Linked DNA regions of Arabidopsis thaliana. The protein of the gene in region 1 interacts with the protein of each later gene in a pairwise test. Each region holds a gene or a part of one and is shown on either strand. Other genes may lie near its edges.

Region 1 (9,325 bases):
GTGACGAACGGTCTAATACATTTAAAATGTGGCTGTTAACCTTCTAAATAATAACATCAAGAAAACAAAAAACACCTTATATCATCCACTATAAGACTGTATAAGGATTCATATTTAATCTTTTCTTTTAACAAAAAGAAATAAAAATAACTAATTTCCCTAAAGTTAAGAAGAAATGAACCAATCAAATTATTTTGCAATCTAAATATCTGCATGGTATAACATGGTCATTGTGCAATCATTAATATATAAGATATAGCAAACATATAATAATCCAGCTATGATAAAATAACATATTGTAAAATTTGTCCGAACAAGTTGGGATGATATTGTAATAGAATAACTATAAAACCCATTCTAGACAATACATCAAATATGAAAACAAACGATTAAAGAAAGAAGCACGTCGAGTCACTTCCATTCCTACCTGCCAAATCGGTGGCTTCTTCTTATTATTATCCACGACTTGATTCGGCTCGGCTCAAGATCAATAGTCCGGTTCCACCGGTTAACCAAAATTCACAATAAACTAAATTGGCAATTAAAGCTTGTTTTCTTGGTGATAACGTAACTTTATATCATAAGATTGAGTGGAGAAGTCATACTTCTTATTAGGCATTTTTAGTATTTTACTATCATTTATTGCTAGAATCAAAGTTTTTGAAAACCGGTATAAAATGTCAATTGTTTGGTTAAGCCTATTAAGCTGCAAGCCAAGTAAATTAAACGCGGTGCGACAAACGATATGATTCTCCGCAACTTCTTCATAGAACCCTTCGACCTTTCTCCTTTTTTTCTTGTCCACTACGTAAACCCAATGACACTTGTTTATACATATAAATATGTATATCTCACAATGTTATCTTACAAACACAAAACACACATTATCAAATTTTAAGAGAAGAAACAAAAGTCTTGAGATCAGCATTTTATTAATTCAAACAAATTACAAGGAGAATGAGAACCTTGGTGAAGAAGCTACTATGGTGCGGAGCGAAGAACATTTCATCTTCGAGAACATCGGCATTACCAGAAGAAGGAAGAGTTCGGGTTTACGTAGGTAAAGATAAAGAGAGTCAATGCAAGCTAGAAGTTGAAGCTAATTTGCTAAACCACCCAATGTTGGAAGATCTATTGAGGTTGTCTGAGGAAGAATTCGGACACTCGTACGAAGGAGCCTTGAGGATTGCTTGCGAGATTGATGTCTTCATCAAACTGGTTAATCTACACAAAACAACTAATCATCATAACAATTCCGTTTGCTTTCACAATAATTCCACAAAATTATTGTAGATTTTATTATTATCTCACTTATTTTTCATCATTCTTTAATTTAAAAAGGAAGAAAAAAATGGACGAAGTTCGTTTCCTTTACTTATTTATTTATTTACATAGTCGAATGCCAATGGACATTTGTATTCCGAATACAGTATTCGTAATGACTTTATCAAATCATATATCCATCGTTTTTTTTGACAAAGCTTATATTAATTTAAATGTGAAATTACATAGTCATGATGCAATAATATATCAATTTATAACCAAATCTGAAATTACAATATAACTTGAATCAAATTGAGAATGGGTGAATGGTTCTCGGCTGAATTGGAATCTCGTTTCACATGCTTGAACTTATAACAATGTAGTATTGTTGTTTAGTAGAGAATATCCTGGCAGATTTTGGTGATGCTTCTGTCTTTTCATTTTTCTTTAAAACGCTGTTTAGAACAAGTTAATCTCATTTAAGCTTGAAGAAAAGGCTGGACAAAGCACATAAAAAAATGTTTATGAAAATAACAAGTTAATTAATCTCCTTCAAAGATGAATATGCCCGGTTAATTAGTAATAATAAGTCTACCCCAAATTAGTGTGTTCAATTGTAAATCGAACTAAACCGGTTATGCTATCTTCTACATTCAAGGACTTCTTTGCTTTGTTGATATCACGAGTTGCTATCTTAAGCATGACAATCGGCTAGATGATCATTTCGATATCATGACTTACAATATATGCATATGTATCTAATATCTTACATATTAGGAATCAAATGGTTGATGTAAGCAGAAATACACCAGTATATATGTAAATCCAAACCAAACTATAACTAAGATCATTCGGTTCTATTTTTTTCTTTAACTATATCATAAAATTAAACACATGTTTGGCCTCGAACGACATTTGTTTTCTTCTTGAACAATGATGATGCTTGAAGGCTCTAGATGATGCTTGAAACGTTCATTAAAATTATTTCATGGTGATGATAATCGATTGGCAGTTTGTAGGGCACGGATTGAGAACGTGTCATAAACCTATTTCACATGTACATTTCAAAGTTTTGACTATCTTCTTAACATAAGGTATGCTTTATGAGTTTTGAGCCTTTGAGATATTATTAAAAACAAAGACTAAAGGCAAATTACTTTGTGAGTGTTAAAATGGAGTCGTTTTTAAGAAAATGAAGAAGAACAATGTATATTCATTAATAGCACTAATGATCAACCAAACATTTCCAAGGTTAAATAAAAGTTTGCGTGGATCAAGACATCATGTTCACATTTTGGTCAATTAATAAACCTGGCATATAACACTAAGTGGTTCAAAGCTGGAAAATGGTACAAGATCATATACAATTATTTTTTGTTTAAACTCTCAAAAGCCATTATGTTGAGGTTTGTTGAGTCTAGTTAAATCTGTCAAACCCTTAAGAGTTATCAAGTGTCTCGAGTCATTCTAATTCATGTTGGAACTTGTTTTAACAAAGAGGCTCCAACAACTTTTAGCTGGGTGGTTTTTTGGTGAGAAGTTCGTCGTCGTATTCGAGCGGCTAAAATGATTATTCTTAAATAATTATTGATTAAATGTATAAATATAGATGGCTTCAATATTTGTTTATAACAGAAGACCTAATGCTAATAGAAGATTCAGATGCCACACTTGTAACATGAATGCTAAGAACGTCCATCACCATGTATGTCTGCGTACCAAAACGATGTCTATTCTCTTTCAAATATTGAAAACATTCAAATTGGAATGATTTTTCATCTCTATTATATTTAGGTTTTCCAAATACATATCTCACGTTGACCTGCCTTCTTTAACTTCTTTAACAGCATCTAAATCAAACATATCATATGAAACTTAGCAGGTTACAATCTAAAAATAATAATAAGAGACAAATAATTAATCAAAAGATTACATGCCCAAGTTCTTACTTCCTCTTTCTAAAACACAAGGCCTCTTAGAGTACTCACAACAAAAGTCGAAGATAATGTTTTCTTATGTTCACCAAAAAACTTACAAAACTAACTCTCGAGAAAATCTAAATTTTCTTTTGAAGTGTGGTTTATATATGTATATATATTTTTATATTTTTTTGGAAAAGATTAATAATATTTAATCAGTATAGAAGTTCTGCTTAGACTCATTAATATTTAATATGTTAACTCATTATAAGTTTACAACTCAACTCATTGAATTGATGAAACCATTTGATCTAATAACTCATTTGGTTGTAAGCTTCTATAGTTATTCTTATATAAGTCTGAAAAAATATTATAGTTGTATTTTTGGATATCTAAGGAATTAAGAAAATTGATAATGTCTCACCTCTACGATAATTCCTTTTCATCTTTCCGTTTTGTTTTTGTATTATCGATTTATGTTCTTTAATTATTATTATTTTAAAAAAACTTCTCCAGTCATCTTTTTATTTATCAGTTACATTATCGTAAATATTCATGCTTCTTACATGAAAAAACGAAATATTTTAATGTGATCTCCACTAGTTCATGAAGAAAATGCAAAGTTATGACTTACTTTTATGGATTGGCTGCTTAAACAAAAAGTTACCAACAGACTTTGACTTTGACTTTGCGTAATGCAAAAATAACGGCAGCATGAAAAGAGGTTCCCTTCGCCTCATAATCTGCCTAAGTTACTGGTCAACAAGCACTACTATATATTTGTGTCATTTTCTTTTATTTGTGTTGTTTTTTATATATAGTAAATTATAAACATATTAATTATTCCTACTTTCCTTAGAAATGATGCATGGTGAAAAATTTAAAAATATTCATATACAAAAAAGAGAGGGAAAATAATATTATCAGTTCGATAAATATGTATTGGTTTTTATGAAAATAATAGTTTTATTCAAAATATTAGCTAAAAAGTACTCTCACACAGTTGGTTTGTTTCATAGTTATAGAATTTATTATGTGACACAAAAAGTTCAAAGAATATTAAAAATATTTGGAAATTATGCAAATAAACAAATATTTGTAATTATATTATTTACATAACACAATCTTATGATATTTATTTTAGAATATGTTTACATTATTTTATCCATATATATGTGTCAAATACGATATCATTTTTGGACATTTACATTTGTTGTAAATTAAATTGTATAGAGTTAATAAAAAAAATCAACAGATAATTTTGATTAAGGTTTGTGAATAATTTAGTCAATTCAATGCAAAATTCAAGATTTATTTGTCTAATCCACTAATTGAGAGTTTCTTTAGTCATAAATAAATAAATTGAAAATCTTCAAATCACGAAATATTTTTTAAAGATTTAATTTACAGAAAATCTCAAATCTCATTACAAAAAATCGTTAAAATCAAAATTTGCAACAACTAAAAAAATTCGATTATCAATTTTGTCATAATACTCATCTACAACTTTTGTCACTACATAATCAATTATTTTCTTGTCCAAAAAAAAAACATAATCAATGATTTTCTTAATGTAATTGTAATGATGAATTTTGATGCGGGTAAAGTAAAAACTAAATCTACTTACACAACTTCCTTTTTAAAAGTATTTATTTCAGATTTGAGATTTGTCAGATATTTTTCTCAACGTGAAAGAGAGAAAAGAGAATCTCTCAGAAGGTGAGCCTCCAACAAAGCGTGAATCTCTCTTTCTCTCTCTATCTCTCTATCTCCGAGATCGCATCACCGGAAATCTCCTTCTACGGTGGTGGTGGTGACAGTTGACCAGAGATGGCGGCGGAGAATGAGAGAAAATCTCCTTCAGCAGTCTCCGATATGGGAGCTTGGGCAATGAATGTGATAAGCTCCGTTGGAATCATCATGGCGAATAAACAACTTATGTCCTCTTCTGGATTCGCATTTAGTTTCGGTTCGTCTTCTTCCTCCGATCTCTCACTCTTTTTAATCAATTTCGCTTTTGAGATCTGATGATTTTTCCGATCTCTGTTTTCTCAGCTACAACTCTCACCGGTTTCCACTTCGCTTTAACCGCATTGGTCGGTATGGTATCAAACGCTACCGGATTCTCTGCTTCGAAGCATGTACCTATGTGGGAGCTTATTTGGTTCTCCATTGTCGCTAATGTCTCTATTGCTGCTATGAACTTCAGTCTCATGCTCAATTCCGTTGGCTTCTACCAAGTAATTCATCTCGATCTCGATCTTGAGCATATAGAATCAAATTGCTTTGATTTGAGCATATATAGACTTTGATTTTGGTTTAGTGGATTCACATTTTTTTGTGTTGATTAGATCTCGAAGCTGAGCATGATTCCTGTGGTATGTGTAATGGAATGGATTCTACATAGCAAGAGATACTCAAGAGAAGTGAAAATATCTGTTGTGGTTGTTGTTGTTGGTGTTGGTATTTGTACTGTGACTGATGTTAAAGTTAATGCCAAAGGTTTTATCTGTGCTTGTGTTGCGATTTTCTCGTCATCCTTGCAGCAAATTGTAAGTCTTTTTGTTTGGTGATTTGGTTTTGAAGCTTGTGGAATTCAAATCTGATCAATTGGTGTTTTTTCCTTCTGTGTTGCTTAGTTAATAGGTTCTCTACAGAAGAAATATTCAATTGGGTCCTTTGAGTTGTTGAGTAAAACAGCGCCGATTCAAGCTTTTTCGCTTCTTGTTGTCGGTCCTTTAGTTGATTATCTTCTTAGTGGGAAGTTCATTATGAAGTATAATATGTCTTCCGGTTGCTTTGTAAGTATCTCTCTTCATGGCTCTGCTAGTATTGTTATGTTATCATTGGCTAATGTTCTACAATTTGCAGCTATTCATTCTTCTCTCATGTGGTCTAGCTGTGTTCTGCAACATAAGCCAGTACCTTTGCATCGGGCGGTTTTCAGCAGTATCGTTCCAAGTTATTGGTCACATGAAAACCGTCTGTATCCTCACGCTTGGATGGCTCCTATTTGATTCTGCAATGACTTTCAAAAACGTAGCGGGGATGATTGTTGCGATTGTTGGGATGGTAATCTATAGTTGGGCAATGGAATTGGAGAAACAGTCGATTATTGCAGCAAAGGCTTTAAACAGTGTGAAACATAGCTTAACAGAGGAAGAGTTTGAACTTTTGAAGGAAGGTGTAGAAACTACACAATCAAAAGATGTTGAACTTGGCCGCACAAAAGATTAGAGACAGATGGATAGAGAAAGAAACATAGTCTTCAGGTACAATTTGTTCTGTTATAATTTTTGTATGTTTTGTGTTATCTAAACCAAGAGATCGGATCCTCGGAGATTAGTGTCTAGGCTTCGATCTAAAGTTTCCTTGGTTATACAAATGTTTTGTGTTATTTATATCTTTTTACCCAATTCCATGGAAATAACTTCAATGACCACATGTTCTTGTTTTACGTAGCACTCAAAGAGTATATTCCTTTATTTATCTTATAGAATATGACATCAAATGTAGAGTATATTCCATTTGATAAAACATTCATATGGATAGTGAAAACAAGAATACTGGAGAAGACTTAAAAGAACTTCTGATAAAAACATTCATATGCTCCCAAGTAATGTGAAAATTGTAAATGAGAAGGGGAAAAATGTTATTTAATACCTGAACTTTCAAAAAGTGGCCAAATTAACCGTGAATTTTTGAAATGGCCGTTTTATACCTCAACAAAAAGTTGACTTCTAATTTAACCTATAAGTTATCGTTGACCCGGCCAAATCGACTCACCATTAACACTTCTTAACAGCTCTCCTAACAGCGTAACTAACAACTGTTTTTGTCCTTAAACCAACAATAACGGCTGTTAGGCCATGTTTTGTAACGGCTGTTAGGAGCGCTGTTAAGGAGTGTTAACGGTGAGTCTATTTGGCCGGGTCAACGACAAATTATAGGTTAAATTAGAAGTCAACGATAAATTATAGGTTAAATTAGAAGTCAACTTTTTGTTGAGGTATAAAACGACCATTTCAAGAGTTCACGGTTAATTTGGCCATTTTTTGAAAGTTCAGGTATTAAATAACATTTTTCCCAAATGAGAAGTGATACTCACAGGCCAAATAGCTAGAATGTAATAAATGTTATGAAGAAAACTTCAGTCATGGTTGTGATTTGAATAAAACAAAAATGTACTGCAATATTATGAAGAAAACTTGCAAGGGAAGCATCAGTAAATTAACCATCATCAAAAAGACCCAATGCATTGAATTTGCTAGCACTTGTTCCAGGTGAGCACCGAGCTTCACTTGATGATCATCTCTAGGTGGGTTAAAGCTTCTGTTCTGATGGGCTTATTGATGTTGCATCATATTCATATGTTTTCTTCATATGTTCTACAAAGGCGTAAACATTAAGATCCTCTACATGGTCTACAAAGGCGTGAACACTACAACAGCTTTGGTATTCTCCAAAACCTTGGATTTCAACACTTAGGAGAGTGTTCCTTTCGAGATTAAAGTAGAAGACATAAAACGGCTTACATACCTTTTTCTTCGCCAAAACAATTTCACCTGTAGCAGTTATCCCAACAATAAAAAGATCGTAGTAAACCTTAACGACTCTATCCTCATCCCTCAAAGTGTACACAGATGTTGTCCATTCCTGTTTCTCCACATCCTCTAGAACCCACATACATAACTTAAGGGGAAATCCACCGCCATGAGCATACTTCAAATTAACCACACCTAATTTACCTTTATAGTATATCAATTTAGTAGATCGTTCAGAAAAACAGTCTTGGTTTAGATTTAGACATTTGAATTTCTCGGACCTGACATCAAAGCAAACTATATACCCCAAGAAATCATCAATGTTATAAGCTATGTAATACAAAGCCCCATTGATGCATATCCATTCATGCGAAACAATATGGATCAAGGGGCATTGTTGGATCTTCCTCCATCTCACTTTTCTAGTTCCCAATGTCAAAATATGAATGTCCTTTGTTTCATTATTGTTTATCTTATTCATGAGCAATACCTTGAATTGCTTGCCAACCGGATCAAACAAAAAAAAGCTTCTCGTCTCTCCATACGTCAACAACAATTTAGGTAACATCGCATAATGTCCCGTGCTAGGGTTACATATGACATCTGCCTTTGTGATCCACATAGCAGAGAAATATACCAAACCAGAAGTATAGTTACAAATGTTTAGGTTTTGAGAGAACTTCGTATGAAAATCCGCAGTTGCTACAAAAGATGACTTCCCATATGGATTCTGAGGCTGAGGCGACGAGAAAAACCTCCACTCACCGTGTTTTGAAAAGGCAAATAAGAGACGTGGACGAGCTGACGATATGGTCAAGAACAACTCGTTGAAATATGGACGGCAAAGCATGGAACCCCATAGCTTTGAGACGCAATGAAACCTAGTGATTGACTTTGCAGGCAATCTCGAGAGTATCTCAAGAATGAGATCGATAGGGATGGAATCTGAGTTTTCTTCTCCATTCATGATCGTATTTGTATTTTCTTATCTGATGAGAGATATGAACACAAAATCGGTGAGACTCTTAAATAATGTATCGTACGATAAAGTTTGACCTAATTAATCAATCTTATTCATGGTTTTCGCTAACCTAGGCCCAAGAAGCATCGTATGATTGTATGAGTATATATATGTTAATTGTAGTATCTTTCCTTATTTATCATTATTCATTTATATATTTTACCAAAAAAAATAAAATCATTTATATTTTTTTCCTGAAAACATTCATTTTATACTTTTCTGAAAACAAGTCTTGATAATTAATCTGAATTCTTCTTAAACAGTCTAATCAAGGTGTTTAATTTTATTTTTGGAGTCCAAATTAAATAAAATGCTTGCAGAAAGAAAGAAAGAAGCATCTCTTATCTCATAGCAGAGAACAATGGTTAAAGTATGATTGTATATTTGTATGGCACGATAAAATAAAGCTCACGAATCTCTCATGTTTAGAATAACTTCTTTTATTCACTTTACTGCAACAGTACGTGTGTGTGCTCCTTCATCTGTCATGGTAAACACTAAACAGTTCCAAATGCCTTTTTACCTTTTCTAAATCCTCAATTCTAATGATTTTAAATGAAACCTAAAATTGATAGAAT
Region 2 (6,703 bases), on another chromosome or scaffold:
TTCGGGTTTGTTTGTCTGTATATAAAATGGTTGTATAATGCAGGCAGCAATAAGGCCACCGACGTTTGTTTTCTTTGTAAACGACGCAAAGCTGTTTTCGGATACGTACAGAAGGTATATGGAGAAACAGCTACGCACTGATGCAGGCTTTGCTGGGACTCCAATTCGGCTTCTTTGGCGTAGCCGTAAAAGATCTGACAAAAATGGAGGAGGTACGAGTTTTTTGCATGAAGTTGTAATTCTTTTTGAAAATAGTGACAGTATCTGTATAACTTTTGGAAAATTCTGCAGGTGGAGGAACAATGAGAATGGCAGGCCTTACACGTCAGAGAAATCTTGCAACCAAAAGAACATAATAACCGACGATGTAATTTTGTTGTATTGAAAAATAATTACTATCAATATATATATACAATTCAATCCTAGCTAGTCTCCATTGCAACCTACTCTGTTTGTTTTTCGTTTTGAGCTTTGAAGTGAAATTGCAGGAATAGTAAACTCTAATAAGTCTTCCATAGAGTATATTTCACAAGTGAGACGAAAAATATATGCATATACTCATGCACTCGTAGCAAATCTTACTAATCTCTTGATGATTTATAGGAACAGGACTACATCAACATTTTTAAACTATCTTTGTGTTTTCTTAATCTAAGTTTGCTAAAAAGAAAATGATTAAGAACAAAAAAACGATGCGGCTTTTAGTAAAGCTGCTCTTTCTTTTCGTGCCACCATCTCCACCTGTAATAAGAACATGCTTTTGTCAAAAAATAAAAAAATCCAAGATCTCAATTCGGATCAAGTATAATTTTGAAACAAAACTTTCATTTTACGATCATGCATTTGGTAAGTGATATATATATATATATATAGAGAGAGAGAGAGAGAGAGATAAGGTTACCAGTAATAGTCCCAACGAGGACGGACTCTGGTCATGCGGTTATCATCAGATGGATGGTAAGGATGAGCTGCGTGGCGAGTGTTGTGGAAGGCGCAGCAACCAGCGGCGTAGACCGCGATGAGGAGGACGAGGACGAGAATGTTGACAACCGATAACTTTCTCCAGTCGAGACGGATCTCTTCGAGAACACCAGCCTTGCAAGCATCGCACTCGTAGCATAACATCTCCACTCCATTGTTCCATCTGAAGCAATCTCCTCCTCCGTCCACTACTCCAGCTTCGTACGTACACGCCGTCGGTGGCTTACAACATCCCGACTGCATTGTCTTTTATTAGTCACGTCTTAACTCTTAACAAGCCTTTTCTTCCCCAATAATACTATATTTTTGTCTAAATGCAAACGCCAAACACAAACTAAGTAAAAAGAGAAAACTATATGTTTACAGCAAAAAACTGGTAAGGTCACACTATCATTTTGTTTGCAAGTAAGAATACAAATACGATTCAACAAAACACACACGGAAAGAAAAAATTCGTTTGCCTTTTTCATTTCTAGTCACATGCTTGCTTTACACGCGATTAGAAACGAAGAAACAAATAAAATCAAAGGCTTAAATTATCATATGATAAGATATATATTAGATTACTATAGCAATTTGTTAAGCAAGCATGAATCATGTCATAAAGTAGATTGTACCTGAACAGAAGTCATGTCTCTTTGGAAATAATCAAGTGTAGTCCAAGACTCAATCTTAGTACAAGTCTTGGAACTCAAGATACAGCTTCTAATGGAGTTCCAATACTCAGGATCCCTAACTCTCTCTCTCAACCATGGATGATAGTCTCCAAGCCTATACTCTTTATAAATCCTCCCTGGCACTTCCACTCCACCTCCTTGGCTCGTCACCACCAGACCAAATAGCGTTAGACCCATTAGGGTAGCGATGAGGAAGATCATGACCACTAAGTACACCCAAAGAGCCCATGCCACGTTGAAGCAGGCTCCTATGAATCCCGCAAGGGAAACTATGAGTATGATGAATCCTATAACAAGTAGCGGCGTCTGGAGGAAGTTTTCACATGTCGTGCTGCTTCTTGCCTTGTATAAAGCGGTTCCGATGATTGGAATCGAGGCTAGTAAGGTGAGAAGGTTTAAGACCCCAATAACTGTGTTGCTGAATCTGTACATAGTAGTAATGTTATCAAGAAGAAATCAGAGACTTAACACTGCCTTCTTTCTTTTGTAAGCAGATTCTCTTCTTGCAATGTGAATTTCATCAGCTTTATCTTACAATCTTCTTTTTCTAGATATAATATTGGTTAACTCTACTTTTGGCTTTTGATTCTCTCTTATCAATTGGGAATTTTTTAAGGGGAAAGGTTAAGAGTTAATGGTTTGATGATTCATGATCATATTCTTTTGGTCCTCTCTCTCTTGAGTTGAATCAATTAAACAATAACATTAAAACCGTATAATTTTCAAATAAAAGTGTCTTTTTGAACAATTGTTTCTTGTTTATTATTCTATATTATACGTTTTTGTCGTTGGAGTTGGTACAGAGCAGACCACAACCAAGAGAAATCAAGTAGTGCCTTCATTAAAATATGTTCTTAAGACATTACACCATAAAGAATACAACTTTTTCTAGCTTTTAGTCCAAAAACTGCAATCATGGTTTATATAATGGATGATCACAAGTGGAATAAAATAAATGTGCTATGTTCAATGAAGCATAGGAGTAAGCAAAGAATAATATATAGACATGGACGGGAGATGATTTCGTAATCGATGAATTTTCTTTCTAAGATGCTTTTAGTGGCCCATTCCTCGGAATATTAGGTTTTTAAGATATAGCTTGATGTGATCTCCGATTCCCCCACTTCCTTTTTTATCGTATAAATAAACGAGAAGGAATGCTAAAATCTTGTCTCAGCTCATATTGAATTTTTGTGTGTTTACTTTCACATTTAGCAAATGATATATGTTTTAATTCGCCAATCATTATGAGCCAAAATATCCACAAGCTTGAAGATACAAAGGTTTGTGGTCTTTGTGTGGTTGAAAATTCACATAAATGAAAAACAAACAAAACAATATCACAAAGTCACAACTTGAAAATTCACAATATTTATATTCCTAAAGAACCATGATCTCTAGTATACATCCAAAAATCTTCAAATCAGCATTTAAAAACAAAGAAGAGGCAGATGCAGCTTAGGTGTAATCAGTTTGCAGGGTCAAGTCTTGTACACCCAAATCATGGTATACATCATATACATATTGCAGTAATGGTCTTTCATCTATTCCGCTCTTCACCTAACGCCGATAAACAAAATAACAAACCCAGTCATTTCCATTTCTAGTGTGAGCTCATGTTTTAACCGATATAAAAAAAAGGAGAAAAGTGAGTACCTGGAGTCTGAGTGAGCCAACAGTGTGACCAGGCACAACCTCCCAGAAACGTGCCTGTAAAACCTCCGTTACATCTTCTCGAGAAGTAATCTGTACAGAGAGAGAGAGCTGAAGAGAAGCCTGGTTTGATCAACAATGGGAAATATGTACACATTCGAGGAACGATTTATGAGCGAACCTGTCGCAAGCATTTGCTTAAAGCAGAAGAAGGAATGTTTGGGGGTGCCATCTGAAGCAAGACACCACCAGTGGCTTTGAAGAGTGGCATAACAAGCATAAACACTGTGACCGATACCAATCCTAAACATAGGACCTCTGCATTTTCAACCCTGAAAAAGCCAAGGCATAAGGAGCAAAAGGAAAATGTAGTCAAGCAAGAAGACACTTTTATTCATTTAGCTCCTTCAAAGAAAGCGAGTATTACCCGAGCGAGAGGAGCCAAGATGCCAGTATCAAACCTGCACTGAAAAGACAGCAGCAAAGAAAACTTCATGTTGACTGTATATAAGTTTGATGCAAAAGGAAGCATTTTCTTTTCTATATAGCTTTCTCCGATTCTGCTTGAAATTTATAAAGGCAGAGAGGATTAACACCTGCGGATGGAATCTGATATGACGTGCAAGCAAACGGAGTGATAATTCATATCTTCTGCTTTTCTGTAGGCTGCAGCATATTGCATATTATGAATATAAGAAAAAAATTCAAGATAACATGTGGTTTTTAGATATGTAAAGAAGGGACAGATAATTTCAAGAAGCAACGAATAGTCGTTTGACAGATCAGTTACAATTATGCTGACTCTCTCTTTCAACTAATCTTCGTACTGATTCTATCTTAACCAAACACCCTTACTTCTTTGGCTTTAAAGCGAAAACTGACAAGGGTGGCCAATTTCTACAAATGAATACCAAAGCCACCAACAAAGGCTATATCAAAATATAAAGCAGCGTATGAGCATCAATTCATACAAGTCTAAACAGAACTTAAAATGCAGAGAAAAACATACCAATATTGACACGAGCATAATTCCGGAAAAACCAAACACCTAGTAGGTTCACCAGCAGATTTGTTACCGCTGATACAATCAAATAATGCCTACATAAAGGAAATCTCAGTAAATCACACTACTGAAAGGAACAAGAGGGAACAAGTACTGTAAACTTAGTAAGTGCTAGAGATATATATAGAAACTCCTAGGCATGTCATTTGTGAAAATATCAACTTACTTATGCTCTGATTCATCTTGTATAAATGCATGAAGAGCTTCCACAGCTAAGGAGAATGACATGAACATAAGGAACAGCTGTCTACACATATGTCAAATATTAAACAAATCAAAGTATTAACCAAAAAGATAAACTACAGAGACAATGAAAGGCAAAACGAAAAGATAGATTGTATGGAAGTCCAAATCTTTTTAACGAGCTGTAAAATACTCTATTCTATCAGCAACAGTAAAGGAAAGAGTTTTAACACTGAGTCAAGCCATCTACACTAAAGCTGGAAATGACATCCAAAACACGTTAAGAACATACTTACAGCATTAGTGAAAGCAGATAAAACTTCAAGTCTTTTGTACCTGGGAACCCAAAAAAAAGAGAAGACAAGGATGCCTAAATTACAACCACTTGAGCATAATCACATTACAGTCTCGGGAGAAAAATAGATCATAAAATGGATTAACCAACTGAGCCAATCAAATTACTTGTAACTCACCCGTATGAGTAAGCATGATCAGGCTTCTTCCTTGAAGTTGCCATTGCAAATAAAGAAAATGTCAAGAGACCACAACCAAATGTCAAATGGAATGCATCAGAGACCAAACCTGTAAGAGTCCACAAAACAATTCAAAGAAAGAATATCAACAATTCAGAGATTCAATCCTAAAACAAAAAGAGAACTGAAACCAAATCGTACCTACACGACCAGTGAAGATACCAATAGAGAGCTCTGTTGTAGAATACAACACATTAAGCGCAATTAGCAGAAACAGTCTCTTCATCTGCCGATTTCCACTTGTCACTACTCCAAAAACCTCCCAAACCATTTCCAAAACAGACACTTTTGCCATGTCTACATCTTTCCCTTCCCCGAAAAACACATCACTTCCATCAACGGAGTAAATATCCGGCGGCATATCGATGCTCGAGACCGTCCTATCGAGAAAAGGCTTAGCCGCTTCCGTGACCGCCGGCGTTCGTGGACCGTGAGATTGCTGAAACGAGCGAGAATAAGCAAGCCTCCGATCATTAGCAGCATATCCGACATCGCTGCTCCGATCATCAGGGAGCTCGTTATCGCCTCGAGGATTAAAGGAAATGGATCTCTCCATTTTCTTCTTTGATCTTAAAGTTCCAACTTCGGCAAATACTAAAATCAACAGTCAGTCGTACAAAGAAACTCTGCTTATACAGTAAAGTCAATGGGCCACTGTTCTAAGCCCATATATAATTTTAGAAGCCCATAGAATACAAAAGAGTCAAGAAGCATTGACCGCACAAGAAAAAAACAATTGTTAAAAAGGGTTGGTTAGTGTGTATGTATATATGAAATGCAACAAACATTATACAGCCCATTAAATATGGTTGTTATAGGTAGATGTCCCCATTAAGGAACTTTATCCAGCCCATTAAATTACTTTACAGAGTAAAAGAGAGAGAGAAGATTTACAGTTACGTTACCAAATTTTCGAAATGATTTAATTAGTAATAAATAAATAATTAAATGTCAGTTACTCTCTTTAGAAAGCTAAATAAGACAGCTGTTTCCACCAACAACGTGACTGGTCGTGGGGTCCTCCTTCGTTCAAAGTGATATTCAGAAATCAACGGCTGAGATCTTCTCCATCAATATTTATTACGGGCCTATTCCTTCCTTTTTTAAACTTCAATTCTCCGGCTCACATTCTCTTCTTCATTCGCTCCGTTTCTCTCTCAAAAACTACACACCCGTACCACACCACCACCCTCCTCGTTTCCTCAGAGATCCCCTCTCTAACTTCTAAGGTAATCACATTTCCATAACGTTCCATCGTCATTGATTCTTCATTAGTATGCGTTTATGAAGCTTTTTCAATTTAATTCTCTTTGGTAGATCTTAAGATTCCTCTGTTTCTTGCAAAATAAAGGGTTCAATTATGCTAATATTTTTTATATCAATTTTGACAGGATATAGAAAATGGCAGATGGTGAAGACATTCAGCCTCTCGTCTGTGACAATGGAACCGGAATGGTTAAGGTACATCTTTACATGACCTTTGTGGATATAAATCTGATAACTTTTTCTTTTATTATTTTTGGATACAATGCTGTTTTGTCTGGTTCATTCATATGTGTTTCCAATTCCTTAGGCTGGATTTGCTGGAGATGATGCACCAAGAGCTGTATTCC

Evidence for each region. Proteins that work in one complex are often made in the same cells at the same time.
Region 2: the proteins of AT5G42420 (region 1) and TET6 interact in a protein complementation assay, tested with the Arabidopsis thaliana proteins (one large-scale study listed by BioGRID).

Annotation. Positions count from the first base shown.
Region 1 is NC_003076.8:16,963,807-16,973,131, forward strand, and holds AT5G42420 (Nucleotide-sugar transporter family protein), read left to right. Parts: upstream 1-4,848; 5' UTR 4,849-5,012; coding exon 5,013-5,151; intron 5,152-5,237; coding exon 5,238-5,422; intron 5,423-5,533; coding exon 5,534-5,734; intron 5,735-5,821; coding exon 5,822-5,983; intron 5,984-6,053; coding exon 6,054-6,419; 3' UTR 6,420-6,721; downstream 6,722-9,325. Other genes in the region: AT5G42410 (SAUR-like auxin-responsive protein family), read left to right, coding at 958-1,293; AT5G42430 (F-box and associated interaction domains-containing protein), read right to left, coding at 7,506-8,693. UniProt on the Arabidopsis thaliana protein: Nucleotide-sugar transporter that transports UDP-rhamnose or UDP-galactose and UMP in a strict counter-exchange mode.
Region 2 is NC_003074.8:3,851,625-3,858,327, forward strand, and holds TET6 (tetraspanin6), read right to left. Parts: upstream 2,243-6,703; 5' UTR 2,091-2,242; coding exon 1,599-2,090; intron 1,219-1,598; coding exon 902-1,218; intron 742-901; coding exon 702-741; 3' UTR 501-701; downstream 1-500. Other genes in the region: emb2738 (GTP-binding family protein), read left to right, coding at 44-212, 292-356; AT3G12100 (Cation efflux family protein), read right to left, coding at 3,117-3,218, 3,315-3,404, 3,493-3,643, 3,739-3,777, 3,908-3,977, 4,321-4,409, 4,541-4,617, 4,854-4,893 and 2 more; ACT11 (actin-11), read left to right, coding at 6,492-6,551, 6,664-6,703. UniProt on the Arabidopsis thaliana protein: May be involved in the regulation of cell differentiation.